Mus musculus: one gene and its partners. The protein of the gene in region 1 interacts with the protein of each later gene in a biochemical or structural test. Links are inferred from orthologs where the notes say so. Each region holds a gene or a part of one and is shown in the gene's direction. Other genes may lie near its edges. The genes, in order: Esr1, Trim24, Mapk1, Safb, Prmt2, Flii and Ahr.

The links.
Region 2: the proteins of Esr1 (region 1) and Trim24 form a complex in vitro, tested with the Homo sapiens proteins (4 studies listed by BioGRID). The link is inferred for Mus musculus from reciprocal best matches to the Homo sapiens genes ESR1 and TRIM24.
Region 3: of the proteins of Esr1 (region 1) and Mapk1, one has a biochemical effect on the other in vitro, tested with the Homo sapiens proteins (3 studies listed by BioGRID, with this or other methods). The link is inferred for Mus musculus from reciprocal best matches to the Homo sapiens genes ESR1 and MAPK1.
Region 4: the proteins of Esr1 (region 1) and Safb form a complex in vitro, tested with the Homo sapiens proteins (2 studies listed by BioGRID). The link is inferred for Mus musculus from reciprocal best matches to the Homo sapiens genes ESR1 and SAFB.
Region 5: the proteins of Esr1 (region 1) and Prmt2 form a complex in vitro, tested with the Homo sapiens proteins (2 studies listed by BioGRID and IntAct). The link is inferred for Mus musculus from reciprocal best matches to the Homo sapiens genes ESR1 and PRMT2.
Region 6: the proteins of Esr1 (region 1) and Flii form a complex in vitro, tested with the Homo sapiens proteins (2 studies listed by BioGRID). The link is inferred for Mus musculus from reciprocal best matches to the Homo sapiens genes ESR1 and FLII.
Region 7: the proteins of Esr1 (region 1) and Ahr form a complex in vitro, tested with the Homo sapiens proteins (4 studies listed by BioGRID, with this or other methods). The link is inferred for Mus musculus from reciprocal best matches to the Homo sapiens genes ESR1 and AHR.

The regions. Positions count from the first base shown.
Region 1 is NC_000076.6:4,708,647-4,713,017, forward strand, and holds the start of Esr1 (estrogen receptor), read left to right. Parts: upstream 1-1,511; 5' UTR 1,512-1,648; intron 1,649-3,319; exon of another isoform or gene 3,320-3,465; intron 3,466-3,666; 5' UTR 3,667-3,737; coding exon 3,738-4,201; intron 4,202-4,371.
Region 2 is NC_000072.6:37,964,607-37,969,090, forward strand, and holds the end of Trim24 (transcription intermediary factor 1-alpha), read left to right. Parts: intron 1-96; coding exon 97-246; intron 247-894; coding exon 895-1,104; 3' UTR 1,105-3,839; downstream 3,840-4,484. UniProt on the Homo sapiens protein: Transcriptional coactivator that interacts with numerous nuclear receptors and coactivators and modulates the transcription of target genes.
Region 3 is NC_000082.6:17,014,334-17,018,182, forward strand, and holds part of Mapk1 (mitogen-activated protein kinase 1), read left to right. Parts: intron 1-1,564; coding exon 1,565-1,747; intron 1,748-3,849. UniProt on the Homo sapiens protein: Serine/threonine kinase which acts as an essential component of the MAP kinase signal transduction pathway. MAPK1/ERK2 and MAPK3/ERK1 are the 2 MAPKs which play an important role in the MAPK/ERK cascade.
Region 4 is NC_000083.6:56,591,220-56,595,068, forward strand, and holds part of Safb (scaffold attachment factor B1), read left to right. Parts: intron 1-2,470; coding exon 2,471-2,535; intron 2,536-2,615; coding exon 2,616-2,822; intron 2,823-3,849. UniProt on the Homo sapiens protein: Binds to scaffold/matrix attachment region (S/MAR) DNA and forms a molecular assembly point to allow the formation of a 'transcriptosomal' complex (consisting of SR proteins and RNA polymerase II) coupling transcription and RNA processing.
Region 5 is NC_000076.6:76,235,007-76,239,463, reverse strand, and holds the start of Prmt2 (protein arginine N-methyltransferase 2), read left to right. Parts: upstream 1-1,598; 5' UTR 1,599-1,714; intron 1,715-2,639; exon of another isoform or gene 2,640-2,642; 5' UTR 2,643-2,698; coding exon 2,699-2,752; intron 2,753-4,457. UniProt on the Homo sapiens protein: Arginine methyltransferase that methylates the guanidino nitrogens of arginyl residues in proteins such as STAT3, FBL, histone H4. Acts as a coactivator (with NCOA2) of the androgen receptor (AR)-mediated transactivation.
Region 6 is NC_000077.6:60,713,430-60,717,399, reverse strand, and holds the end of Flii (protein flightless-1 homolog), read left to right. Parts: intron 1-71; coding exon 72-263; intron 264-556; coding exon 557-745; intron 746-855; coding exon 856-995; intron 996-1,067; coding exon 1,068-1,308; intron 1,309-1,442; coding exon 1,443-1,597; intron 1,598-1,673; coding exon 1,674-1,734; intron 1,735-1,810; coding exon 1,811-1,939; intron 1,940-2,009; coding exon 2,010-2,116; intron 2,117-2,263; coding exon 2,264-2,369; intron 2,370-2,745; coding exon 2,746-2,811; intron 2,812-2,952; coding exon 2,953-3,087; 3' UTR 3,088-3,257; downstream 3,258-3,970. UniProt on the Homo sapiens protein: Is a regulator of actin polymerization, required for proper myofibril organization and regulation of the length of sarcomeric thin filaments. It also plays a role in the assembly of cardiomyocyte cell adhesion complexes.
Region 7 is NC_000078.6:35,500,599-35,504,202, reverse strand, and holds part of Ahr (aryl hydrocarbon receptor), read left to right. Parts: coding exon 1-490; intron 491-3,502; coding exon 3,503-3,514; 3' UTR 3,515-3,604. UniProt on the Homo sapiens protein: Ligand-activated transcription factor that enables cells to adapt to changing conditions by sensing compounds from the environment, diet, microbiome and cellular metabolism, and which plays important roles in development, immunity and cancer.

The DNA.
Region 1 (4,371 bases):
GGCCAAAGTCCCCTGAGATGATACCTGCCTTCTCATACCCTTCCTATGCAGATCTCCAGATGTCCAGATCTCTCTCTCTCTCTCTCTCACACACATATACACACACACCAACTTTCCTTGACTCATTTTCTTTCTTTTCTACCATCTCTCCTTCTTTTGTTACACAGTTTAGTTGGACTGGCTTGATGAGTGTGACATCATTGTTGACCTACAGGAGGGGCCCCTGTCATCAGGAGTCAACACTATTACCAACAAAGGGTTAGCAATCTTTTTTCCCCCAATATTTATTTATTTGTTTGTTCATCTATACAGTGCTAGATCTCAAACCCATGACTCCCCATATGCTAGGCAAATGCTTCATTACTCACACCGCAACTTCTCGATACTTATTTATATATTAGATATTTATGGTCATTGCTGATTGTTGAGGGAACTTGTCTAAGTCCCGATATAATGACCTTGAGTCTTTCCAAGCACAAAAACGTATAGTTGCAGCATGATATCATTAGTATTTTCTTTCTATTTCTTTCTTTGTACTGGCCCAAGTGCCACTCATATATCTCTTGGTAACTGCCTAGGGTCCTAGGGCTGGAGACCGGCCACTCCTGGCGTTGTGATTAGAGTCACTTAATACCTAAAGTAGTTACTAAACAACAAAGGCTCCTTTAGGCCTCCTGTGTCCTGGGACCCAGGGTGAGGACACAGTCAGAGTACCTTGTTAATCTGTGTTGTACTGTGGTGGAGAGAAGCACTGAGAACCAGGTGTATCCATGGGACAGCACTGGAGGTACAAGATCTCTGTCTGCAACCAATGCTGGTAACTACAGCTGTGAACGTGTAATCGCTTTAACGCAAAGCTATTTTATGGTTCCAACTTTACGATTAAAATAATGCCTCTTCTGGGATGTGTTTACAGACAGTAGTCAGTAGGCTATTGGTAGAGAGGCTGGTAGGTTTGACTAATGAAGTGAGGGAGTCTTGCATTTCAGTTGGAAACATATCCCTGGAATGCCAAAAATATTTATTGCGAAGTCTGACTTTTGTATGTTATTGGTAGCATTGTCACTGAGCATCTTATTCAGGGGAACAGTAGGGCTAGAGGGCTTGACTCATATGTATCCCAGAAGGCTTTTCTTGTTAAATGACATCGTTTAGGAAGAAGATATCCTGGCATAGTTTATAAACTTGATCTCTGCACACTTTGACTGGCATTCTAGTTTATCTGTGAGCCTGTGGTTCACAGCCATCTCAGTTTCCCTCTCCATAGAAAGCACCGGGACATTTCTGGCTCTACAGGTAGGGAGCAAAGGGGGCTGGAGTTTCTTCTAGGAATGCTGATTCTAGCGGGGCTACTGCTGTCCCTCAGCAGACAGCAAGGCTCCCGGACTCCCGCTGCCATTCATCCAGCTCGTGCAGGAGCCCAGCTGCCTTGTCTGCCGGGAGGGGCTGCCAAGTGCCCTGCCTACTGGCTGCTTCCCGAGAGTCCCTGCCACTCCACATACAAACACATCCACACACGCTCTGCCTTGATCACACACCGCGCCACTCGATCATTCGAGCACATTCCTTCCTTCCGTCTTACTGTCTCAGCCCTTGACTTCTACAAACCCATGGAACATTTCTGGAAAGACGCTCTTGAACCAGCAGGGTAGGATCGGCTTTTGATTTCTCTCTCTCTTTCTCTCTCTGTAGCTTGAGCGATTTGAGAAAGCAACTTACCTTTCTGCTTAGTGTCTGTCTCCTAGCTGGAGAAGGAAGCTGTGCTGTTTTTCTATGGGGGGAAATCTGTGCGGCTTTTTTTTTTTTTTTTCCCGCTTTCCGGACTTGTAGGATTCTCTGTGCCATTTATATATAATTTGGCAGGCTCAGATTTTTAAAGAGTCTCATCTGAAGTGCTTGCTTTTGCATGTGTTTTTTAAAAGGCATTTGAAAATTGAAAGTGTGATTTATGGGAACTAAATCATCTACGAAAAAATTGCTCTAGAAAGTCATGGTTGCTGGCCATAAAGAGAAATATCTGCGATTCACCTAATGTATTTTTAACCCTTCCTTTGCTGTCAATGATACTTATGGGTGCTAAAACTCATCTTTGTCTTTAGATTTAAGCCAGCTTAGCTGTGGTTTATCCAAAATTATCTGTTTTTCTAAGAATTAGATAAATAGTGTGCTTAGTAGAAAATATTTTTAAAGTGTTACTATTAGTAACAGCAACCTTGACATTTGCATGTGTCAGGTACTTCTCCTGGGTATATGGGCTAGCAATTCAAGTCATATGCTAATGGTTATTTTAGGGGATATTAGGTTGGGGCATATGCAGTTTATTAAGAAAGTACAAACTATCCAAGCTGCAATTTTTTTCTAAATTTGCAATAACAGGTGTGTGTGAGCTCAATCAGAATTTAATTCAATACTGAATAAAAAACTTATTTTAACTTCTCTGTCATTCGAGTATTAGATTCCTGTGTACCCTATGCCAAGGGAACCCAGAAGGTCCATTTGTAGAATTCAAGAGCTGAAAGGTAGGAGAGCCTTTCAAAAGTTTCTGGTTAGACAGACAAGGTTACCGGATCGCCAGAGCTTTAGTCAAGGACCTCAGGTGATATTTTATGGGAAAATGTCTTAGTCCTTGCATGGTTTTCCCAATTTTTGGTTGCATAACCTGTGGAAGGTAGGGACACCCAAGTGTGCCTAACCGAAGGTTTTTCTGAATCATATCCACATGAGAATTTCTAAAGGAAGCAAATTTGGCACCGGGGTCCAACAAAAACAGAAAAGCTAGGCTGGGCAAAATTGCCATGGCTGTGCTTTCTTGGGGAGCGTTTTAAAAAAATTATTATTTTTATTTTTTTGTCAGAAGAGGAAGCTGAAGGCTGGCAGTTTTCTCTTGACTCCAAGTGCAGCTCTTCCTATACATAGTCCATCTCCACTCGTCTGGCCCTAGATGCCTCCTATCTGTGTCCACTGGTGCTAAATATAGCTGTCGGTGGCTGGCTGCATATGCAATCACACACCCCATCCTATTTGCCATATCTCAGTTACAGATACAGTTACCGTCCCTCCAGGGTCATTCTATGCATACACTGCGTACTTCCAGCCAACAAGAAGACTGAATCAAATAGAAAGGAAGACAAAACAGAGACAGATTGGAGCTTGGCAGAGGCACACAGGCAACACATCAGGAAAAGAAAGAAAGAAAGAAAAAAAGAAAAGAAGAAAGAAAGAAAGAAAATGGCCTGTGGCTTAGTCTGCATTTGTTGCAAACCTAGTCTTCCTTGGGATGGGGGGAGTGGTAGGGGCGCGGCTCCTGGAGGTCCCTTTGCTGCTTTCACCCCCTGCAGCGAAATCCAGCAGCGAAGACCTGGAAAGTTAAGTTCAAGGAAGCTAGCGGTTCCTTGGGTGCACGCACAGTGTGATGTTCCCAGTAGTGCCTGGAAGCTGCAGCCCCTGGCCAGTGGCTTCCAGCAGGTTTGTCTAAGAGCAGAGGAGAGGAGTATGTAAAGTTGGAGAACCCGGGAGCGTCTGGGTGCGCTCCTTGGAGTTGGGTCACCTGTGTTCTGCAGGATAGCTCTGCCCCGCAGGGGCAGAGGCAGGGCCAGGGCCAGTACTCGTGCCAAGGGGGACTTGCGCTGCGCCTTCTCTAATCGCAGGCTCTACTCTTTTTTCCAGGTGGCCCACGCGCTGCTGAGCCCTCTGCGTGCGCGGGGAGCCAGTCTGTAACTCGCCGGCTGCCACTTACCATGACCATGACCCTTCACACCAAAGCCTCGGGAATGGCCTTGCTGCACCAGATCCAAGGGAACGAGCTGGAGCCCCTCAACCGCCCGCAGCTCAAGATGCCCATGGAGAGGGCCCTGGGCGAGGTATACGTGGACAACAGCAAGCCCACTGTGTTCAACTACCCCGAGGGCGCCGCCTACGAGTTCAACGCCGCCGCCGCCGCCGCCGCCGCCGCCTCGGCGCCGGTCTACGGCCAGTCGGGCATCGCCTACGGCCCCGGGTCGGAGGCGGCCGCCTTCAGTGCCAACAGCCTGGGGGCTTTCCCCCAGCTCAACAGCGTGTCGCCTAGCCCGCTGATGCTGCTGCACCCGCCGCCGCAGCTGTCTCCTTTCCTGCACCCGCACGGCCAGCAGGTGCCCTACTACCTGGAGAACGAGCCCAGCGCCTACGCCGTGCGCGACACCGGCCCTCCCGCCTTCTACAGGTACCCGCGCCACATCGGGGTGGCCGCTGTGTAAGGCCTGGCCGGGGGAGGGAGCGCACGAGGGGGGTCACCGCGGGCTGCAGGTCTCCCCATCCCAGCCCTCGGGGAAGTCAGAAAGGATTCTTTGGCAGCTTTAAAACAACAGTAACAACACAAACAACAACAACAAC
Region 2 (4,484 bases), on another chromosome or scaffold:
CACCAATGACAAACTAAAATGAAGAAAAATAGAATATACTATAGGACCGGGTACAATTTACTTATTTATATTATAATAACTCATTTGTTTTGTAAGGTGCCTGATTATTATAAAATAATTAAAAACCCAATGGACTTGTCAACCATCAAGAAAAGACTTCAGGAGGATTATTGCATGTATACAAAGCCTGAAGACTTTGTAGCTGATTTTAGATTGATCTTTCAAAACTGTGCTGAATTCAATGAGGTGAGATGGGGCGAGGCCACAGCAATGTGGAGAGTGATCTTAACCAGACAGCTTGCCAGCAGGGAGGTCCCAAGGTGTCTGTGCAATGTTGCGTGTCTACCAGGGCATGGCAGAGCTTGCTAAGGAGGCTTATCCACACTGAGTTTGCAAAGGTTTATGTGTGGTAAGTGCAAATCCAAGCCTGCCTGAGGCTGAGACAGTGTAGAGTCAGGATTTATCATTCCTTCCTTTGATTTGCAAGCTATGCATTTTTAGACTTTGACTTCTGAGTTTATCTTGAAATAGTAAGGATGTACCAAACAGTTCTCAGTTAAAATCTACTCAATTCACTTTATATAACTGTGTCTTTTTTGTTCATTGTTGTTTGTTCTTTTGTTGACGTTTCTCATCCTACCCATGATCTTCTTGTCACCTTGCTGGTGTGACCCATCCCTGTCACACCACTCCTTCTGGAAGGAGTCAGTACAAAGTGTAACCCCAGACTAGTATTTTGTTTTATCTTAGTGACATCCCTAAGTACTTTTCCAACAGTCCATTACAAGTTTCATAGTCGTGTGCAAAATAGGAACAGAATTGTGAGAGATTATTTTTATTAACGAAACCTGGGTCTTTTGGGTGTTAATTCCTACCTGTATTTTTATCCCACAGCCTGATTCTGAAGTAGCCAATGCTGGTATAAAACTTGAAAGCTATTTTGAAGAACTTCTAAAGAATCTTTATCCAGAAAAAAGGTTTCCTAAGGTAGAATTCAGGCATGAAGCAGAAGACTGTAAGTTCAGTGACGACTCAGACGATGACTTTGTACAGCCCCGGAAGAAGCGTCTCAAGAGCACCGAGGATCGCCAGCTGCTTAAGTAACGCCGCACTGGGCCAGCGCGCTGTGCTAGAGATTTCTCATCAAAACTAAAGACAGCAAAAGGCTTGTCAGTGATCTAAGGGTTTGTGAGCTCTCTGCTCTGTTTTTGCTGTTTACTGGACTTTGGTTTCTTTCATAACCCATTTCTTTAACCTCTTGTCAATGAAAATAAAAAGAAGAGGAAGGAAGGAAATGTGTACAAGAATAAAAGAAGGAAGAGAAGGTAGAAAAAGAAGAAAGAGCAAAGAAGGAAAAGACATTCTTCCCCTTGTTGGATTTCATACAGGAGCCTGGAGTGAGTGCTACACTAAGAAAGAAATAGAGTTTGACATAAGTTGAGATTTTAGTGTGATCTGGATGTGTGATAATCCATTTTTAGAATATTAATTTCATTACCCATTAATTATGGCCAACTGTAAGGAGATAGTCCTGTTACTATTCTTAAATGAAGTCCTCCCCAAACGTGAATGGAAGCAGAGTTCTTTGCCAGGCTGCCTGCCGGAAAAGGTGTAGACAGATGCTACTAAGACACCAAATAGTGTCCATGTAAGATGGCAACTGCATTAAAAAAAAATCAGGAAAAACAAATGTTTGGTTATTGTTTTGTTTTATCTTGTCTGTTAGAGATGCTGGGCATAGCAGTTCTAAAGGGCCATTCTCTCATGGATTGCTAGATCGGCCTTTTCTTCAGCTTCGGTGAGGGAGGAAGTGTGTGTGTCAAGTGTTGCTGTTTGATCCGCCCCTCCACTCTCCCCTTACTGTGCAGAGCTGCAAGTTGCTAGTGGCTTTTCTTTCTTTTGGGGGGAGAAGGGCGGAGTGGTTGGGTTTTTTGAGACATTATTTCTGCAGTATTACTGTAGTCCTGGCTGTCCTGGAATTCACTCTGTAGACCAGGATGGCCTCAAACTTAGAGACCTACCTGCCGCTGCCTCCCAAATGCTGGGATTAAAAGTGTGAGCCAAAGGCTCACAGTCACACTCAGTAGAAGCATCAAATATACAATAGGGGGCACCAATATTTGATAGATTTCTATAGCTTGTGCCCTGGGGCTGCCCTGTTGAAGTTCCCTGAATGGGCTTTCAATCTGTCTTTCTCATTTCAAATAAGCGGATGTTGTGGAGTTGGGAAGAGATCATTTGGGGGAAGGGGAAGGAATTCTAGGAACTATTCTTTGTTGGCTTTCTGTTTCCTTGATTTGTTTTTTAACAACTTTATATTTCATCTTTGATCTGCCTTAATTCAGAATTTAATTTTCTTTAGGAGAAAAAAGATTCCTTTTGCTTGTTTGGTGGTTTTTTTGGGGGGTGTGGGGGGAGCTCAGATAAACAAAGCACCAAATGAGATTAAGGTAGAATAAAATCATTGAGTACTGTTGTACTAGCCCAATATTTGACAAAATACAATAACAGTTTTAGTTTGCCATAGTAAATTTTTAGTATTAAAGCATTTTAATTGTTTGACTAGAGAAATTTTTTTCTTTAGGTTGACAGAACAGCTGACCTGAGGATTTATTTGGTCACATGACCTCCCCTGAATTAAAATGTAGCTGGACATAGTAGCCGTGGTGGCATGCACACACTCACAATGCCAGCACTTAGAAGGTGGAGGCAGGAGAATGGGAAGTTGAAGGTCATCGTCCGCTGTGTGAGCCGCTGTGGGGGAGGAGCAGGGAGACGGTGACTTCTGTGTAGCATTATTCCAGAGCTACAATTGTTTCTTGCCTTAATAGCAATAGATCCCTTTTATCTAAACAACCTGTATAATACTCGTTATACATGACCACTCTAACAGTCTTCATCCGTTTTCTAAATGTGTGTTGTGTGCTGATGTTTGTCGTGTTGATTTGAACATGCAGCTGGCACTTGTTCTGGAAACAGTCTGAACAAAGTTTGACAGTGCACAGACCCTTGGGGAAATAGGGTTTTATGTTCAGTTCAGTCTGGCCTTCAGCTCTGGCCCTTCTACCTCTACCTCCCTGGTTCAGGGACTAAAGTAGTGTGCGACCATGCCCTCAGCTTTGGGGTTGGTTGGTTTGCTTGCTTGCTTGCTCTCTTGCTAGCTTTATTATTTGTGGGAAGTGGTTACACTTGTGATTTAGTCCAGCATTTTAAGTGTAGCAGCTGTGAACCATTTTTATTTTAATATTTTAAAGATTTATTTTTTTATTTCATATGTATGCATGTTTGTCTGCATATACGTATGTGCATCATGTGTGTGCCTGGTGCCCACCCACCTAGGCTAGAAGAGGGCATTGGATACCCTGGAAGTGACGTTAGAGAGGATGGTCAGACACCGACCGTATGGGTGCTGGGAACCAAACCTGAGTCCTCTGCAAGAGCAATAAATGCTCTTAACCACTGAGCCATCTCAAGCTCCGGCTGTGGAACTCTGAGCAATACCTTTCTTTTTGCTATCTTAGAATACTGTTCTCTGGTAGATTGTCTTCCATAACTGTCACCTGAGTTAAAACAGTACTTATGTAAATTATTTTGAGAATTATCACTAAGGGGGAGGTAGGGCTTAAATAAGGTAAATATAATTTTTATGTATTTTAGCCAGAATGTCTACTGATCTATCCCAGTCACTATTATATTCTATGGCGCAGTAACCTTTCAAAAGAATGTTACATTTCACCATTAACAGTTTTTGCTGAATGAAAGACAGTTGAGTACCATGTTTCCTGTAATGATATTTAATAATATATTAAAAGTAAATGTCTTGAGTTTTTTCTACAAGTAACACTGCTATCCTGACATAATCATTGACAAGAACCAATGTGTTCAGGTGGGTCCAAGCTAAATGGGCTTTACGTGTAATAGAAGCTTAAAGAAAAAAACAAAAACAAAAATCAAACTCTATCCCATATTGATTTTGAGACCACCACCACCCAAACTACAAGGAAAAAAATGTTCATTATGATTTAGCAGTCTTGACCTACACTTATTCCGGCATTTACCTCTGACAGTAACTTAGGAAGTTTGGTTTTCAGAGCCCTGGATCAAAGCTCCAGGATGTATGGTCTTAAAGTGTAAAACCCCTGTCACACACACTGCTCTCCCTGAACGTGATCATTGCCTTTGAAAGATGATTCTAGATATGCAGTCCAAGCTGGGGGTAGGATTTGCTTTTGCTTAACTCCAAGTCAAAAGCTTTCCCTTGTGTTAAGCACCTGAGATCTCTCTGGCAGTAGGGACACTCACAGAAGCATAGATGGACTGAGCAGACAAAAGGCAAATGACACCTTACATCAGAATCTGGCATTATGGTCCCTTTGTGCTTTGAATTCACAGGTCCCACTTCTTTCCTGGACAGGAGTGGGGAGAATAAAACCTCTTCCTCCCATGGTAGTTTTGTTTTTCCAAGCTAAGAATGGGCTTGGTGT
Region 3 (3,849 bases), on another chromosome or scaffold:
TAAACAAATGAAAACCAGTCCTGGTAGATTATAATTTTGTAAAGCAAACCAGATTTGACTAATGTGTTCTATAAAAAATAAGAATTTATAATGTCAAATTTCTTCTGGCCAGTGTTTTACAAGTTTCCTTTTACTTAATTTTAACTTTTACCATGCTGAAGGATCAAATTCCAGGGCTTTATGCTGCTACCAGGCAGCTTTCTAGCACAGAGCCAACAATCCCAAACCTGTTTTAACTGTAAACTCGCTCTTGTTACGATTATCAAAGGGGGTGTTTATCTTTAAAAGTAGATCCCAATATTGAGTACACTTGCCTAAACTATACAAGCTTTTGCTTGCCTCCTCATGAACCACTGCTTTGGGCCCTCGTCTACCAAACCAAGGAAAATAATGTTTAAATGGTCATCCTGTTTAAGAACTGTGTATCATTTCAAAGTGCTTTGGGACAGCACAGCCTGTAATAGCATTGTGAGATGGTTGCAGCCACTGACAAGTCTACTCCTAAAACAGACTTTTACACTCAGTCAGAGGCATCAGTAGTGATGTCAGTAAATACCATTTCATTTTTTTAAGCACTTAGTAAGGAAACAAGGAAATATTTTATTGCTTGCCAGTATTTTTAGTGCTTTAGTCACTGGTCAGTTGTTGACATTAATATAAAATGCTTTTGTAGAAAATATTTAGGTAAATTGTTGGCCCATGACCTCCTCCCCCCAAAAAAAGATAGTAGTTATATTTAAACTTTTAAACCATCCTAAAATTAAAAGCAAGATTTTGCTTCCTTCTTTTCGGATTATGTAGTTGGGTCTTAAGTATAGCTTGGAAAAAACTCCCATCCTATGGCTGTGAAGGTTACTTTGTAGATTTTGTTAGAAAATTATCCTAGTAACAACCAGAAATAGACCTGTGTTTTGCTTATAAGAAAGTTGGTAATTGGGCTGGAGAGATGGCTGCTCTTGTCCCAGGTTCTATTTCCAGCACCCATATGGCAGCTAGCAACTGCCTGGAACTCTAGTTCCAAAGGATCTGATGCTTGCCAAAGCCACTGTACACATGAGGTGTACAGATAGTGTGCAGACAAAACATCCATACACATAAAATACAATTTAGAGGCGGAGAAAGAGGTTGATAAAGGGCAGTAAAGCTTTCTAAAACTGTTGTTTGTTTGTTTTTTTAGGGATAAAGATGTGGTTGGTGGTATTTGGTGTTTCTGCTGTGTCAGAGAATTCAGTAACAACTATGGATAGTTGTTTTGGAGGCAGAAATGGCATTTTCATCAAAGTGTTATCTGCTCTTTAAGACAGTAGGAAAATGTGGTGGTTTCCTGTGTCAGGTTTATAGAAGTGGGCATTCGTCTCGTGAACAGGCCATGCAGCTCTTAAATGTCAGGTTCAGCATCTGCTGCTACTTTACATCTGCTGCTTCCATAGGTATCAACTAATTATCAACACAGATGTGACAGATGTTAAAACTTCAATACTTTACAAGTTTGTGTTCCTTCTACAAAGTAATTCAGTGAGCTATTTTTAATTTTCATATACATACTTTCTTTTTTTTTTTTTAGCTCTGCTTATGATAATCTCAACAAAGTTCGAGTTGCTATCAAGAAAATCAGTCCTTTTGAGCACCAGACCTACTGTCAAAGAACCCTAAGAGAGATAAAAATCTTACTGCGCTTCAGACATGAGAACATCATTGGCATCAATGACATCATCCGGGCACCAACCATTGAGCAAATGAAAGATGTGTATCCTTTTCTAAAGTTAGCTGCTGCCACTGCTGCTTGGTCACTTTGTAGAGTAAATAACTTGGAATCAAGAAAAAGTGCACAGAGGGTTTTTTTGTTGTTTCTGTTTTGTTTGTTTTTGTGTGTGTGTGGGGGGGGGGTGTTTGGCTGTTTGGTTGGTTGGTTGGGGTTTTTTCAGACAGGGTTTCTCTGTATAGCCCTGGCTGTTCTGGAACTCACTCTGTAGACCAGGCTGGCCTCAAACTCAGAAATCTACCTGCCTCTGTCTCCTGAGTGCTGGGATTAAAGGCATGCGCCACTATTGCCCAGCTTGCACAAAGAGTTTTTTAATCACTCTTCCCGTATATGTAAAAGTATGCTAAGAGGAGATTATAATGTTTGCGCTTACCTAGTATTTAAAGGATTTTTTTTTTTTTAAGATTTATTTATTTATTATATGTAATTACACTGTAGCTGTCTTCAGACACTCCAGAAGAGGGCATCAGATCTTGTTACAGATGGCTGTGAGCCACCATGTGGTTGCTGGGATTTGAACTCTGGACCTTCAGAAGAACAGTCGGGTGCTCTTACCCACTGAGCCATCTCACCAGCCCCAAAGGATTTTTTTTTAATTTTATCTTTTTTCTTGTAACTAGTTTTAATATGCTTTCTATAAGTTAAGTGTTTGTCAGTTTCTGTATAGTTTTCTTTAATCTTAGTTTTGGAAAGTTGATTCATGTAATTTCCAATCCCATGATGACTGTTATGATAGTGAAAAGGGAGTCAAACAAGCTTTCACAACAGGACGTAGGTACTCTAGTAGATGTACACTTGACCAGATCAGTGTCTTCCAGACAGTCCTAGTGTGCTCCTCTTTCAGCCTCAGCTTCCTTATCTTTAAAGTAACTGGGTCGAGCACAGTGATGCACTTTAATCCCAGCACTTGGGAGGTGGTAGCAGGTGGATATCTAAGCTCGAGGCCAACCTGGTTTACAAAGAGTTCCAGGAAAGCCAGGGCCTCACAGAGAAATCCCGTCTCAAACAAAACAAAAATAAAAAATAGAATAGACTGGACCTCAAGGTCTTGAAGACCAGATCAATTCTGATACATGTAATTGTAGCCAGCATTAGATATCAGTGGTGAGCTGGTCTAGAAGAGTCCACCTCCTAGGACCTGTAGGAACAGCAGCTCCATGTTTCTAGGCAGCTTTTGTCTTTGTAAGCATGTCTGTTAGTAAGTGGGGTGGTGTTGCAAGGGAAAGCCTCCTGCTGCTGCACGTGTTGCTCTTGTTACCTTTTGTCAGAGAAGAACACCTTTTATAAATAAGGTTTGCTTAATTCAAGCATGGGACTGATCTCATTTAGCCTGTAGAAAATAGAATAGTATTTATGCGTAAAAATAAATGCAAAAATTCCCCTAATAAAACATCATTATAGTAATGTTAAAAGCAAAAGGTTACTACAGTTTAATTTTCATAAGAAATAATGTGGCTTAGCTGAAGTTTTAGGTGCTTAGGCAGTGGAGGTTAAAGAGCAGAACCTATTATCATCAACTTCTTTACACACCTTATGGTCTTACAATACATATGCAGAATTTAGAGAATGAGGAAGAAAGGCAGAGATTGGACTCAGTGGCGATGCTATTTCTAGGCCAGTACTTCTGGGTTGGTCTGTGAGGATATTGGTGACAAGAAGCAAAGAAAACAGTGCAATACAATTACACATTGCTTCTGGGCCAAAGAGATGGGTGTTGTTTGTTGGCTACCATGCCCTTTAAGCTTTGGAGGAAATTGGTTAATAGTGGACAGTTTGGAGAACAGAGAAGTTGAGACTTCAAGATTGACCAGTATTCCACTTGGGAGGCAGAGGCAGGCGGATTTCTGAGTTCGAAGCCAGCCTGGTCTACAAAGTGAGTCCTAGGACAGCCAAGGCTACACAGAGAAACCCTGTCTCAAAAAAAAAAAAAAAGATTTTTTTTTAAAATAGATTGACCGATATTCTGTTTCAAGTCTCAGTGTAGGCCCACAACAAGCCACCTGTGGCAGGACTAGTGTTTGTTTTCTTCCACGAGAGTGTGCCGTGTTCTCTTCAGTCTCTTCTTTCTTTTGATGGCCCAGCTGTGT
Region 4 (3,849 bases), on another chromosome or scaffold:
CTAGTTGCAGTGGCCATGCTGTCAGGAATTGCACTGTGATTGATAGGAGTTATGTTCTAAACTAGGAAGGCCCCAGCCTTGTCAGTGGGTGAAGTAGATGGTTTAATGTATGTGGTTTAATTCTGCATATTGTGTGAGGGTGTGAGAAGGGGGGGAAAACAACACCATTTTAGTAAGATCTCACCTCCTTGTCACCCTCGAGAATACAGGGTGCTGACTGCCTCCTGGAGCTGTTGGCTTTGCTCATTCTAGAATCTCACCAATATAGCACTAGAGCCACAAACTCTTAGGGCTGATTTGCAGTTTGAGAGTATGTTACATTTGTGTGGTTGTAGCCCAGCAGAGGGCAAGGGTCTGTTCTTTCCTTCCTCCCTCAGTTCTTTGCCACACAGGTTGTTGTGTAGTGTCACTGAGTTCTCAAGTACCCTGTTGTTGGGTTTTGATCAAGATTTTTGGCAAGAAGTGTTACCTTGCTTCATGAATTAAACTCAGTGGTTTGAAATTCTAGAAAGGTCTGTCTCAGGTTATCTCTGCTTCTCCATGGTAGGCTTTGCAGAATCTTAAAATGTCAGGGTGAACCCCTCTGCCTGAAGGTGGACAAGACTGTACTAGCCTTTAATCCCAGCACTCAGTATATCCTGCTCTATCGAGAGCAGGAGTATATAGAGGGGCTCTGTCTCAGATGGGAGTGGTGGGGTAACATGTTTGGGGACAAAAGGCCAAATGTTCTGGGCATGGCCTCACCCTGACCTCTGCTTTGAGGGTTGTGTTTATGGTTAGTTTCATGGTTAGAAAAAAATTATCAAGTATCAGTATGGCTTCTCCAGTGGTTTGAATCAGAATGTCCCCACAGGTTCAGGCATTTGAGCACTTAGCCCCTAGTTCCTTCTACTATTTGGGGAGGTTGAGGAGGTATGACCTTGCTGGAAGCAGTTTATTACTGCAGAGAACTTTAAGATTTGAGTCTATCTATCTGTCCATTTGTCTGTGGTCATTACCACCATCCACCCATCCACCAGCTCAGCTGCCTGCCCCTTCCCCATGTCTACTGTACCTCCTCTACCGCTGTGCTTCCCTGCTGAGACGGCCCCTTCTGCAGCCACAGCCAGCTTTTCCTTCATCAGCATCTGGTTACAATGCTTTAGCATATTGGAAAATAGCCGAGAATGGTTTTCATGTTTTAGTTTTATTTATTGGAGATGCATGTTATATATAGTTTTGGCTGGCCTAGAACACACTGTGTAGGCCAACTAGCCTTTATAGAGAGCTGGACACTCTGGCTTCCACCCTTCCGCATATTTCATACACACATACAAAACTTAATAGAGAAGTTAAGGAATTCAGCAGCCCCACAGAACTTAACTGTAATGGAGATCATGCCAAGTACCATAGCTAAGAACATTCCATACTGCTCCATAGTGAGAAGGAAAAAAATGGTGCTCTTTGGAGGGAAGAGCTACAATAGCAAAATCCCACTTGGCCAGACTGTCAGAGCTGGTGAGTGAGTGTATCCATTACAGGGTGGAGTAAAAGAACAGGTGCACAAGATCCTAGGGTCTGGTGTTCATGAGCAGTGAAATGAGGTTCCAACTAGGTTTGCTGGCTCATTCCCATGACCAGCACTTGGAAGCACAGGCAGGAGGATTACTGCAAGCTTAAGGTAGGTAACTGGGCCAACATACAACCTTACTTCAGTTCTGAGGGAGACCAGTTTTTCAGACTAACCTGAGTCCAGGGGTGCAGTGCAGCTCCATGGTAGAACATCCCCAGCACAGAGAGACATTGGATACTGCTTGAAGACAGGTCATTGCTCTCCCTGAGGAGAAAAGACCTGTGAGGGTAGCCTGCCCATGTGATGGCCTGCTTACATGTTTTCCTACACCCCAAGTCATGTGGGCGTTGATATAGGATAACATAGTGTTTCAAAATTTGTTTTGTGCCCACACATCCTCAAGTGTGGAACCCCTGCTCAACACCACAAAACAAGAGTCAGGCATGGTAAACTCTTCCGTTGCATCCTAGGAATTGAACCTGAATACAAAGAAGAGTAGTAGCCCATGCTCTTAACTACTGAGCCAACTTTTCAATCTCTATTCCATGTACTTTATTTATTTATTTATTTATTTATTTTTGGTGTGTTTGCATGTGCACTTACTGAAGCTAGGTGTTTCGTTCCACCATATGAGTTCTATAGATTGAACTCAGGTTAATTTTGGCAACATGTGCCTTTTCCCTGCTGAGCCCCCTTGCTGGCCCAATGTGTGCACCTTTTGCTTGCCTGTGGCCCGTCTCCCAGGTGATTCTCCATTCTGTCAAGTTGACGATAAGCATCCCAAACACAGTGCATTGAGACCTGGCTAGATGAGAGGCCAGGTCTGTGCAGTGAACAGAGCTTGGGACCTACAGAAGTTCAGGCACCTGCTTGCACGACACAGACTATTGGCCTCATGCCCACATGCTGTCTCTTCAGGGAGGAAACCAGAAGACGAGGGTGTGGAGGACAACGGGCTCGAGGAGAATTCTGGGGATGGGCAGGTATGCATCACCTTTTTAGTGGATGAGGAGAGGGAGAGCCATGATGGCACGGTGCCATGACAGTGTCCTCTGTATTGCAGGAGGATGTGGAGACCAGCCTGGAGAACCTGCAAGACATGGATATGATGGACATCAGTGTGCTGGATGAGGCTGACATTGACAATGGCAGCGTGGCAGACTGTGTGGAGGAAGAGGAGGAGGCCACACTCCCTGAGGGCCTAGCAGACAGCACTGAACTGGTAGAAGGAGATTTGAAAGGGCTCCCAGAACAGCTGCAGGAGCATGCTGTAAGCAGCTGGTGCTGGGTGGAGCACTGGGTGGCCTGATGCAAAGTTCATGACAGAGCAGAGTAACAGGGACAGCTGCTGCTGGTCATTGTCCCTTAGGGGAGCCTGAGTTATGTATGGTGTGTGAGTACAGCCAACTGGAGCAACCACTCTGCTCAGCTGGCTGCTGCCTCTAGCTGTTCAACATCGATGCAGCTTCTCCATGCAAGTCATGTATGAGACCAGAGCAATGGTTAGAGTGGTTTAGACATGTATGAGACCAGAGCAATGGTTAGAGTGGTTTAGACTGGCCTTCTGAGCACTGTGTTACATCCCTAGGTAACGTGTGGCTCTGGTAAGTGAGAGTCCAGGCACTTGCTGCAGGGTACAAGTTCAAGCTCCCAGGCCTCAAGGCAATATGTGCTGAAGGATTTTATGGTTACAGGGTTGATGTCTGCCTAGAGAGAGGAGAGTGGGCATTAAGGACCCAGGGGCATCTTTTTGGCCTGTCAAACCTGGAGATTTGGTGACCAAAAGCCTCTGGTATTCCAACAAAACCTCAGATCTCCTACAGTGAGCATTTTGTCCCCTGCCATGAGAACTGACTGAGAGCCTATGCCTGTGGGCAGCACACTGGCTTTGAGTGAAGGGTTTGTTTTGCACTGTTAAGATACAAACAAGGTGTCATAATCAGTTTCTAAAAGGTACGGCTCAAGTGGTGGGCTCCTTGTTGGAAAGTAACACAGAGGCCAGGGTTTAGGAAAATGCCGATTGGCTGGTCGGAGGCTAATTGCAATGTGAAGAGAATGGAAGGGTAGGGGAGCATCGGGGTAAAGTGTGTCAGTGCTAATGTGCTGTGATCTTTAGCTGGCTCTCAATTCCTTCTAAGCTTTGGTCACCAAATTCTAGGTCTGACAGGTGAATGGTTGCTGCCATGGCCTTTCATGTGCCTGTGTCTGAGTGAAGTTTACAAGCAAATTGTGTTGTTGCCTCTTACTATTGTTCAGCAGGGCCAGAGGTCAGTGTTACAACTAAGACCAGCCTTCTC
Region 5 (4,457 bases), about 72 Mb from region 1:
GGCATCACACTCCACTTTTTACAAAAAGAATTTTCTTTTTCTGGTTATTTGAGACAGGGTTTCTCTGGCTATCCTGGAACTCAACCTGTAGACCAAGCTGGTCTTGAACTCTGAGATCCGTCTGCCTCGGCCTCCCAAGTGCAGTGAGTCCCCTGGAGCTGGAAGTTACAGGTGGTTTGTGAGCAACCTAACATAGGTGCTGGGAACCAAACTTGGGTCTTCTACAAAAACAGTAACTGCTCTTAACTGCTAAGCCACCTCCAGCCCTTACAAAGCCACATTCTTTATTCAGCCACCACAGGTACCCTTTCCTATGTTAGGTTAGCAAGGGTGGATCCTAGTGCCTGGAGCCTGAGCTTCGTGGCACCAGCAGGCTTTCAAGAATAGGTCTCAGGCCTGCCACACTGGGGGCTCTGAGGACAGTTTTTTCTGCCTTGGAAGATTGTGGGAAACTCTTTTCAACCTGTGGCATCCTGGCTCAGAGCTTCAGCCCTCTTCATCTGGTGGAAATGGAAAACTGGGCAGATTTAAAAAAAGGACCAGGTCCTCACACAGACAGACCCATCCCTTGGCTGCAGTTCATTGTGCGACTCCACTGAACCGATGGACTGAAGGCACAACAGGTGTGGTTTGCACAAGCCTTGCAAGCCCTGAGATGCCTCACAGCAGGTTTGGAATGATTGATTATGTTATGAGCTGTGGTGTTTCTACTGCACGAACCGAAGCATGATGGTTTAATTATAGAAAACAAAGAATTTTAATATTTCCCTATCATTCCTCAGCATGTATTAGAGTGTCTAGATTATATTGGACAAACGCATCCACCTAATTAGTATGCAAATCTGCTTTTGTCTCTAGTCAGTGGTAAAATTGTGTGTATGCCGAGTTTTACAATAAATTCTTTTCTGATTCACTTATCAGTAAATGTTTGATTCGTATGCCTATTTTAGATACCTAGAGTCGCTGAAAAACTTTCTGAGTAGGATGGGATTGCTAGTGGAGAAAGCTTAAGAAACCTTGCTTAGGGTCACCTGATGTCAGTGTCATTGCTCCTCCGCCCCCAACCCCTTCAGCACAGGATCTTCAGGACTTGGGGTCTCTGGTGTGTTTCGTGTCTCAGTAGCTATGTTGGTTCCACGATCAAAACTTAGTCCAAGATACTGTAGGGGGGTCCCATTCTGCAGAAGCTGATTCAGATCAAAACTAGGTTATTAAGCATTCGGAGAAGGGCATCAAACACACCGGCAGTCCCAGGTACACTCAGGACAGCGCTAGTACGCACTCCTGCTTCAGCCTGCCAATTGTTGCCTCGGTTCGAATCCGCTGGGGGCGCGGTCTACACCACCTGTGGCCTCCAACCCGGAGTCCAGTCTTCCCACAGATCTCCCGGTAAGTCGATCCTTACACTTTCTCACCTGCGTCTTGCAGCCTTAAGGCCCAATGCGACCGGCCGGAAGCAGGGACAGAAAATGCGCTTGCGCTGAGTGACAAGCTCTTAGAGAAAACCCCTGTCTCAAGACTATCTACAGCTACCAGCACCGAGTTTATACACACTGCGCTTGCGCAGGACACCCAGGCCTGGGCGGGGCGTGCTCTTCGGCCAGCTGGAGTGCTCCGCGCTTGCGCAGGTCCAGGGCGGCGGCTCAGGCTTCGGGTGGGCATCGTCTGTTCCTTTCTGGTATAGCCTAGAATTCAGCGGAGAAACGCGGCTGAGGTAGGTTTCTTAATGGACAGCTTAGACATCTGGATCGCAAGTGAGGCAGGGCAAGCTAGGCAAAAGGTCTTCCCTGTGCATGTCTCCAGCGCACTGAGGCCTCCGCCCCCTCTGGAGGCTTTAGAGTGCCCTCTCGAAGGTTCTATTCCAGCTACCCCCTCCCCTTTTCTCAGCACCGTCCGCCCTCTTCGCTCTCCTTTCGCTGCACCTCTCAATTCCCCCTGCGCACCTCCGCTGGCTCTTAGAGCCACGCCCTTCCAGGACCACGCCCACCTGCCTTCTGTATCCCGAGCCACATCCCCCATGCCTCTATATTCTTGGCCTCTATGGCCTCATCTGCTTGGCCTGGAGAACCCTCCAATTCATTGTCTTTCTTCCTCCGGGCACCCTCCCAGGCTTTTCACTGAAAATATAATTGTAAATAATTTGTGATTCTAATTATTACGAAGTAAGTATGAAGTCCAGATCTGGACGCACAACAGGCGTTTAAACAAAGAATCGATGTAATCTCAGAGCCAGTTAGGGTTACATTGCCCCTGGGGGTAAAAAAATAGAATTAAAGAACAGGAGGGTGTCGGGCATGGGGATTTCAGTTCTGCCTGTGGGTTAGGTCAAGTACTGGGCAAGGTGTTTTAATTTGAGTTTAAGCTATTAAGTGTTCCTAAAAAAAATGATACTGATTTATTCTAAGTAAAAAGAGGCTTCATAAATATCTCTTAAAAAAGGAGACTTCAGAGGAATAAATCTAGCATATTAAAGGAAGCACACAGCATTTGGATTTTTTAATTTAAAAAGCCCTCTAATGAATTGTGATGATAAAACGCCAATCCTGTTCCATTCTTAACACATACAGTAAACTGTAGCCGTGAAATGAGATTACTGACCAGGCAGTGTAACACTTTGTGCTTCTCTCTCTTCTTTCAAGTAGGCATGGGAGAGAAACTGAAGTAAAGCCCCAGTTATGAGACATGATCATATTGAACTATGGAGGCACCAGGAGAAGGTCCCTGCAGCGAGTCACAGGTCATCCCGGTTCTGGTACGTAAGAGCCACGTGTAATGATCATACAGAGGAACAGTACCAGCTTACAGGGGTGATGTCACTCTCCTTGTCTCTCAAGGTCCTGGCTCACAGGAGGATGCTTGAATTTAGAGAACGTTGAGGCAGGGGGATGGGTCTGGTCATTAGGTCCCATGCTGTGTATTGTCATGAACACTTCAGGGGACACTTCAGCATGCTTCAGATTCTTGTACTTGTTCTTAGATGGCCGTAGCATAGGACCAGGAAAATGCTTGGTACTCGAGAAGATCTGTCTTGGGTACGTATATTCAGTTTGATCCATGTTACCAGAGAAAAGATCTCCTTCAATCTTAAGGAATATTGATTATGTACAGTTAATGAAATGACTATTCAAATAAAAAGGTTTATTAAAAAAATCAAGATTTTCATGTCTGTGGTGTCAGCATCAGCCAGTTTTGTGTCCCTTTTAATGGTATGCCTTCCCTTGGGTTTTAATTTATTCAATTACTTAACTTATTGATATAGGGTCTTACTGTGCATCTATGGCTGGCCTGGAACTGCTATGTAGACATGACTGGTCTCAAATTCACAGAGATCAGCCTGCCTCTGGCTCCTGAACACTGGAATTAAAAGCCTCCGTGCCCAGTGACTGGGTATGTATGTACTGGGCATATTTATATGTAGGATTTATTTTTCATTTCATTCATCATTTTCCATCTTCAGCTGCAGAATGTTTTAATTCTACGAATGCCCAGTGTTTCTTTTGGGAAATGTAAATATTAAGACAACTATAAAATAATATTGTAGACACTGAGGATCTGTCATGCAGAGATGAAAACGTAATACACTGTCACAGTTTTCTCAAAACATGCGCGCACGCGCGCACGCACACACACACACACACACACACACACACACACAAGATTAACGTCATAATCTGTTCTCAAGTCCAGAACGGTTCCTTCCACTTTTAGAGGCTGCTTTGTGTCTGCTTGTGCACCGTCTGTACCTTTATGAACTTATAAGGGTCCCCAGGCCAGCCACAACTAAGCAGTCCAATCAAACAAAATGAAGGATCCCTGAACAAAAGTTTGAGTTTGCTGTGTGTGTGTTTTCTGAGGCTTGTGTTGGTGCTGTTGCGGTTTCTGCATCTATGGAGTGTTACCTGGGCAGTTTGGCTACTTACTGCTGGGTCTCCTGCATGTGCTCTGTCTGTGAGTGTACAGCAGTGTAGGGACGTAGGGATTGCCGTAGGGATGCTGTGGTCTCTAAACCACTATGCATCGGGTCTCACTGTTAACCTTTCACTGGGAGCTCAGATGTAGTCCCCATCTCCTCCCGCGCCTCCCCATGGTACTGTGGTGAGTACCTGTTGCCATAGCTGGTGCTTCAGGTAAGAGGCTCAGTGATGGCTTTGTGGAGCTTTGAGGGTGGAAGAACCACATATTTTTGAGTTTCCAAGTGACTTCCCGTGATCACTGGTCTCCAGTAGCCCAACAGTGTCAGTAGATAACACCTTAATTGTGGTCAGTTAGGCAGCTTAGAAATGACTTCTGATTGCCCCAGTGACAGAAGACTCTCAGGAGTGTCTCAGCAGTTCTGTTAATATTGGACCCTACTAGGGAAGAGGTGCTGTTCTAGGAATTTATATTTCCCTTTTTACAGGGCCCGTTTTACCTTGTTAAAGAATCAGTTTTTTTTAATTGAATTTCTCTTTTGTTTT
Region 6 (3,970 bases), on another chromosome or scaffold:
AGGAGGCTGGACATGGGTCCTGTGTAGTTCTGTGCGTTCCCAGTGCTGACCTCCAACCGTTTGTCCCACAGCTGCAGAGCCTACTGGACACACGATGCGTGTACATCCTGGACTGCTGGTCTGATGTATTCATCTGGCTGGGCCGCAAGTCCCCACGCCTAGTGCGTGCAGCAGCACTCAAACTTGGCCAGGAGCTATGTGGGATGCTACACCGGCCACGACATACAGTGGTCAGCCGCAGCCTGGAGGGCACCGAGGCCCAGGTATGCCCCCACACCCAGAAGCCTGCTCATCATGCCCTATGCCCTCTGCTGCTGGCCAACTACTACAGAGGTGGCCAAATCCACTTTTCTTTGCTGAACCACCCCCTCTGTAGCCTGTCCCAACTTCTGTTTGCTAAGCTACACCTCCCCAAGCCCTAGCTCCAGCTCCTGGTAGACGCTACCCCGAGTGCTAACCAGCTTTTCCAGGCCTACACAATCCCTCTAGCCTCTCCAGCCTCTGACCTTAGTTGTGCTATGCCCCTCCAGCTATGGCATTACACTGTTCAACACAGGTGTTCAAGGCCAAGTTCAAGAACTGGGACGATGTGTTGACAGTGGACTACACACGGAATGCAGAGGCTGTGCTTCAGGGCCAGGGCCTCTCTGGGAAGGTGAAGCGTGACACTGAGAAGACAGACCAGATGAAGGCTGACCTCACTGCACTCTTCCTACCTCGGCAGCCCCCCATGCCCCTGGCTGAGGTGGGTGAGGCCTCTGTGTGTGTGCGGAGGGGGAGGGGAGGCGGGGGGGACATGAGAGGGAGGGGCTCTGCACAGCATGGTGCTCACATCTCCTTGATGACGGCTAACAGGCAGAGCAGCTGATGGAGGAGTGGAATGAGGACCTGGATGGCATGGAGGGCTTCGTGCTGGAGGGCCGCAAGTTCACTCGACTGCCAGAGGAGGAGTTTGGCCACTTCTACACACAGGACTGCTATGTCTTCCTCTGCAGGTGCCAGAGCAAAACCTCAGCCTCTTGTTCTTTTCCCTGTGCAACCCTTGCTCACCACTGTTTGAATCGCAGGTACTGGGTACCTGTGGAGTACGAGGAGGAAGAGAAGACAGAAGACAAGGAGGGGAAGGCCTCGGCAGAGGCCAGAGAAGGGGAGGAAGCAGCAGCGGAGGCAGAGGAGAAGCAGCCAGAGGAGGACTTTCAGTGCATCGTTTACTTCTGGCAGGGCCGGGAGGCCTCCAACATGGGCTGGCTGACCTTCACATTCAGTCTTCAGAAGAAGTTTGAGAGCCTCTTCCCTGGCAAGCTGGAGGTGTGTATTCACACAAGCCCTGAACTGTGCCCCATGGCCTGTGCTTGGGATGGTAGTATGATCAAACCAGGCCTGAGGGAGCTTGGCCCTTGGAGGCAGGGTCTAGGGAACTACCCAGCACTTCTGATCTCCAGGTAGTACGTATGACACAGCAGCAGGAGAACCCCAAGTTCCTATCCCATTTCAAAAGAAAGTTCATCATTCACCGAGGCAAGAGGAAGGTGACCCAGGGTACTCTTCAGCCGACCCTCTATCAGATCCGCACCAACGGCAGTGCCCTCTGCACCCGGTGGGTACCTGGCTTGGGGAGGGGACAGGATTCCATGGTGGAGGTAACACTGCTGACACCACCACCCCCTCCCCAGGTGCATCCAGATTAACACTGACTCCAGCCTTCTCAACTCTGAGTTCTGCTTCATCCTCAAGGTGAGGCTGTGGGCAGGACAGCAGAGCAGGGTGGTGGGCAAGAATCAAGCTGACCCAAGCACTTGTGCATACCCAGGTCCCCTTTGAAAGCGAGGACAACCAAGGCATTGTGTATGCCTGGGTAGGTCGGGCATCAGACCCCGACGAAGCCAAGCTGGCAGAGGACATCCTGAACACTATGTTTGATGCATCCTACAGCAAACAGGTGACAGAGGTGGGGGCAGGCAGGAAGGGAAGAGCAGATGAGGGCCCTGGCTGACCAGCCCTTCTCACAGGTCATCAATGAAGGCGAGGAGCCAGAGAACTTCTTCTGGGTAGGCATTGGTGCACAGAAACCCTATGATGACGATGCGGAGTACATGAAGCACACGAGGCTCTTCAGGTGAGTACCCCTCATCCCTCCCCTAGCTTCTGTGCACACACGGGGACACACAAGGCCTATGACAATGACACAAAGTACATGAAGCACACAGGGCTCTTCAGGTGGATCCTTCTAACCTTGCCCTTCACCTTGGCTGTTGCCCGACAGGTGCTCCAATGAGAAGGGTTACTTCGCAGTGACTGAGAAATGCTCTGACTTTTGCCAAGATGACCTGGCAGACGATGACATCATGCTGCTAGACAATGGCCAAGAAGTGAGACATTCTCCCACCTCAGAGCCTGCCTTCTGGATTAAGATGAGACGCTATAGCTGGGAATACTGGGGCCAGGGGCAGCCTTCCCACCAGCCACATGTGGAGCACTGAGCATCATATACAAAGGCCCTGGGCTCAGTTGTTTTTTTTTTTTCAGAGACAAGGTTTCTCTGTATAGTATTGGCTGTCCTGGAATTCACTTTGTAGACCAGGCTGGCCTCGAACTCAGAAATCCGCCTGTCTCTGCCTCCCAAGTGCTGGGATTAAAGGCGTGCGCCACCACTGCCCAGCCTGGGCTCAGTTTTTTTTTAAAAGCACTATAAACATCAAAAGGGCCAAGAAACCCATGTGACCATTTCATCCTCTGTATCCTCAGGTCTACATGTGGGTTGGGACCCAGACAAGCCAAGTGGAGATCAAACTGAGTCTGAAGGCTTGCCAGGTAAGAGATTACTGAAGCCAGCCTGACGGTTTCAGGAGCCACTTGTCCCTCCCTCATCCTGGATAGACGTTGAGGAAGGGGCACAGTGGTCAGTCCAGCAGGCCTTAGAGGACTACCCAGGCCCATTGTTTTTCTTACCAGGTATACATCCAGCACACACGCTCTAAAGAACATGAGCGGCCACGTCGCCTGCGCCTGGTCCGCAAAGGTAATGAGCAGCGCGCCTTCACCCGCTGCTTCCACGCCTGGAGCACGTTCCGCCAAGCCCCAGCCTAAGCAGTACCTATGACCTCAGACTCCAGTGAGGAAGAGGAGGACTCCTCGTACCTGCTTCAGCTAGCCACAGCCTGCAAGCAGCACACAGCCCCAAGCCCCACCAGTGTGTCCACATGTGTGCAGATGTAGTTTAAAAGATATTAAATGCTTTTATTTTCAATATTAAAAAATCAGTACTTTTAATATTAAAACAACTAGTTTTTAAAAAAAGACAGAAAAGCCGAAGGTGGCATCTACAGGGAAGCCCATCCTCACTGCCGCACACACACGTGCACACACACGCACACACACACCTCTGACTGACTTCAGTCATGACGCCCAGCAGTCTCTAGTCACAGGAGCACACAATACACACAGGCCAGGAGCAAGTACCAAAACTGCTTTAGAAATGACTGGCCAGCTCAGTCCAGGCGTTAGAAAAATACTCTGCTTGAGGAGAAAGGAAGTACAGTATGGAGTGCAAAAGGATGCTCGCACCCCTCCGGCTGAGCTTGAGGCTGGGATGTGTTCAGGGCCCAGCATCAGTCAGCGGGTCCGTGTTAAGGGGCAAGGCAAGACCGACAGATGGTGACGACTAAGGGGAGCAAACCCAGGTCATGCCTGCCTGCGGGGTAGGCAGCCCCTTTCAGTGATGGCCCAAGATGGGCTTGCTGGGGAGCTAGGAGGGTACCAAGTAGAAGAGGGTATGGTTAGTTATCTATGCCCAATGTAGGCTGCAGAGGCACTAGCTACTAAGGTCCAGAGAGCTCCAGTCTCCAGCTAGGCTGGGTCCATAGCAAGATACGGTAGGGGCACATAAGGTCCATGTGCTGGCTCAATAGGCAGGACCTATCAGCCTCAGTGACTCTCCTGTGAAATGGGCTCTGTGGACTGGATAAGCATC
Region 7 (3,604 bases), on another chromosome or scaffold:
GCAAGATCTGGGTCCGAAGCACACGCAAATCAACGGCACGTTTGCAAGTTGGAACCCCACCCCTCCCGTGTCTTTCAACTGTCCCCAGCAGGAACTAAAGCACTATCAGCTCTTTTCCAGCTTACAGGGGACTGCTCAGGAATTTCCCTACAAACCAGAGGTGGACAGTGTGCCTTACACACAGAACTTTGCTCCCTGTAATCAGCCTCTGCTTCCAGAACATTCCAAGAGTGTGCAGTTGGACTTCCCTGGAAGGGATTTTGAACCGTCCCTGCATCCCACTACTTCTAATTTAGATTTTGTCAGTTGTTTACAAGTTCCTGAAAACCAAAGTCATGGGATAAACTCACAGTCCGCCATGGTCAGTCCTCAGGCATACTATGCTGGGGCCATGTCCATGTATCAGTGCCAGCCAGGGCCACAGCGCACCCCTGTGGACCAGACGCAGTACAGCTCTGAAATTCCAGGTTCTCAGGCATTCCTAAGCAAGGTAAGGGCTTTCGACAGCTGAAAAAACCTTGTAGGCCTAAGCATCTCTGTATTACACTTAAACATATCATCATAACCCATTTTAGATAGCAAGCAACTTCGGAACTGCTTTCGTTATATTTATGGTCACGTAATTAACTTCATTATAGTTTACTTAAAATAGTATGAATAATAAATTATTTTAAATAATTTTCTTAAAAGCAAGTTGATGTTTAGATAATTTAATAACTGTTCTTTGTTACCCCCTCAGGAGGATATCATGCTTATATTAATAAATTTCTCTTTACAAATATTAGCTTATTTGAAGATATACTGGTTTAGATTGTAAGAATATCTTGACTAACATGAAGTTTATTAAGTAACTATTCATGAGCTGTTTGAGTATAGCCATTTAAAAGTGTGGCTTAAATCACAGTCCTGGTTGCTTTTTAGATTGTGAGTGAATCTGCTGTGTCTGATTGTATGGGACTTTTTTTTTTTTGAATGGAGAATGAAGATGATAGTTTTGGTCAATCTTTTTCCTGAAAATTTTTAGGAAAAAGATTTCCTAAAAATTTTTAATAGTTATTATAAAGAAAATGGATTAACCATACTTTGGATATAATTTACTCATAAAAGAATAGAATATTAGTATTTGCCTCAAAGCGGTGTGTCTGAAGGACATTATAGAATATAGAGAGCATCCATGTGTGCAAACCTCCAAGGCTGATCCCTCAGATGCTGGAAATGGCCGCAGAGTGGGGCTGGCTATTGGGTAGTAACAGACAGATAGTGGGAGTAACTTCGGCTCTTCTACAACATAGCAGGATGACAGAAGTTCACAACAGTTCATTGCATGATTCAAAATCACTAGAAAAAAAGGAAATCAAAGGTTCTTCATGCAAATAACAGATGAGTGTTCACAGTGAAAGATAATTGCCTGATTTGCTTACACACTATATAGATGAATTGAAATGTCACATTGTAACCTGTTCATATGAGTAATTGTGCGGCAGTGAAAAAAATAACAACATTTCTAGCCTGGAGAGATGGCTTGGCAATTAACATTTGCTTACCCTTCTTGATCCCCAGCACCCACATGGGAGCTCAGAACAGTCCACAGTTTCCACTTCCAGGCACCCAGTGCTCTCTCTGCACCCTTGAGCACTGCATACTTGTGTTGCACATGCACGTGTGTGTGTGTGTGTGTGTGTGTGTGTGTGTGTGTGTGTGTGTATACATACAAACATACATCATGCAGGCAAAACAACTATACACATAATATTTTATTCTTAATTTATTATTTTTGAAATGAACCATAATTGTATTCCTTTTCTGTTTCCCTTTTTTTTCTACAACCTTTCCCATCTACCATGTTTGCTCTCTTTCAGTTTCTTGGCCTCTTTTCTTTCATTGCTCTGTGTGTGTGTGTGTTCCTAAATATTTAAATACAACCTGCACAGTCTGTATATTACCTGTAGGACAACCCTGAGCAGCAACTCAAAAGGGTTTTTCTCATGCCTGGTGTTGGGGCTGTAGAGTGAATTTGAAGACAGTCTGGAAAATGGTGAGACACAGAACAAAAGGTCAAGAGTATAGCTAGCTCAGTGGTCGAGCCGGGTTAGCATGCACAAGGCCCTTCACTGGACCTCCAGCACTACACAAGAAGTGAGTAATTTGAGGCAACTAAAGGGATAATTTTATGATTTTTATTTTAATCTCAGTTTATTTCATCAACTACACCACAATGTGAAGTTTCTGTAGACTATAACTGTTATATTCGTTCTTCACTGTTTTAGCAGTTCTGGATATGAGACTGGTAAGAAGGCAGGTGTCTTAGTTAGGGTGTGAGGAAACAGCGTGACCAAAAGCTGTCTGAGAAGAAAGAGTTTAAATCACTCACAGCTCCACATAACAGGTCATCATCAAAAGCAGTAGGGTCAGGACCTCAAGCAGGGCAGGAACCTGGAGGCAGAAGCTCATGCAGAGGCCATGGCAGAGTACTTTCTACTGGATTGCCTTCTATTGCTTGCTCAGCCTGCTTTCTTATAGAGCCACACAATAGGCTGAGCCTACATCAATCACTAATTAAGAAAATGCCCTACAGGCTTGCCTGCCTACAGCCAGATTAGTGGAGGCATTTTCTCAATTGAGGCTGTCTCCCCTCAGTGACCTTAGCCGAGTCAAGTTGACATAAAACTAGCCAAACAACTGACTCCTTGTCAACCTGACACAAAACATTTTTCAGACAGAACCTTTCCTTTCGCATTTATCCCCAAGATAGCACATTAATATTACTACCACAATATAAAACATAAATGACTTTAAAAGTCCCACAGTCTTTACAAATGTGAGCACATTAAAAGTTCAATCTCTTTGAAATAACCATTCTCTTTAAAAAATTGGTTTTGTTTGTTTGTTTTTAAAAAAAGCCTTCAGCCCGTGCTGGGGCTACAGTTTGATCTTTTCTCAATTGAGAAATTCCTCTCTGATGCAACTAGCTAACCAAGCATCTTTTTTATTTGGTAACTTGCAGAACAATTTATTAAACACATTTTACAAATAAATTGGATTAAGATCATACCTGTAGTGTAACATTGCAAGAATAGCAAGAAACATTTAAAATCCAGATCTGGGCAAAAGTGCTGGTGTCTGAAATGCTGTGTAGAAGTTCGGATAGAATCAGTTCACTGCCTCCAGGTTTTTGATTGGTTGTGGCAGGACTGAATAACCCTTTGACACCCCATGTCACATAATTTCCCATCAGGCCCCAAGGCAGACGAAGTGAGATAGTTGTAGCGTTCGCTGTACCATCTTTAAATTATCTTGTAGGACTAATGAGAAAACCTGATCTTCCAAAAGAAGTCAGTGTGTGAGCGTTTCCTCTGTGTGATTTGAATGACGAAAGACTTAGCCATGAGCATCATCAGTACAGGACTGTAAAGTGAAACAACCCATAGGTCTAACAGACTAAAAGTCGTTTTTAAGGTCTTCCTCAGATCCTAACAAGCTGCTGTGCTGTGTTTGTTCTCAGGTGCAGAGTTGAGGTGTTTTCAATGAAACCTATTCGTCCGACTTGAGCAGCATTGGCCACGCTGCTCAGACCACTGGCCATCTCCATCACCTGGCGGAAGCC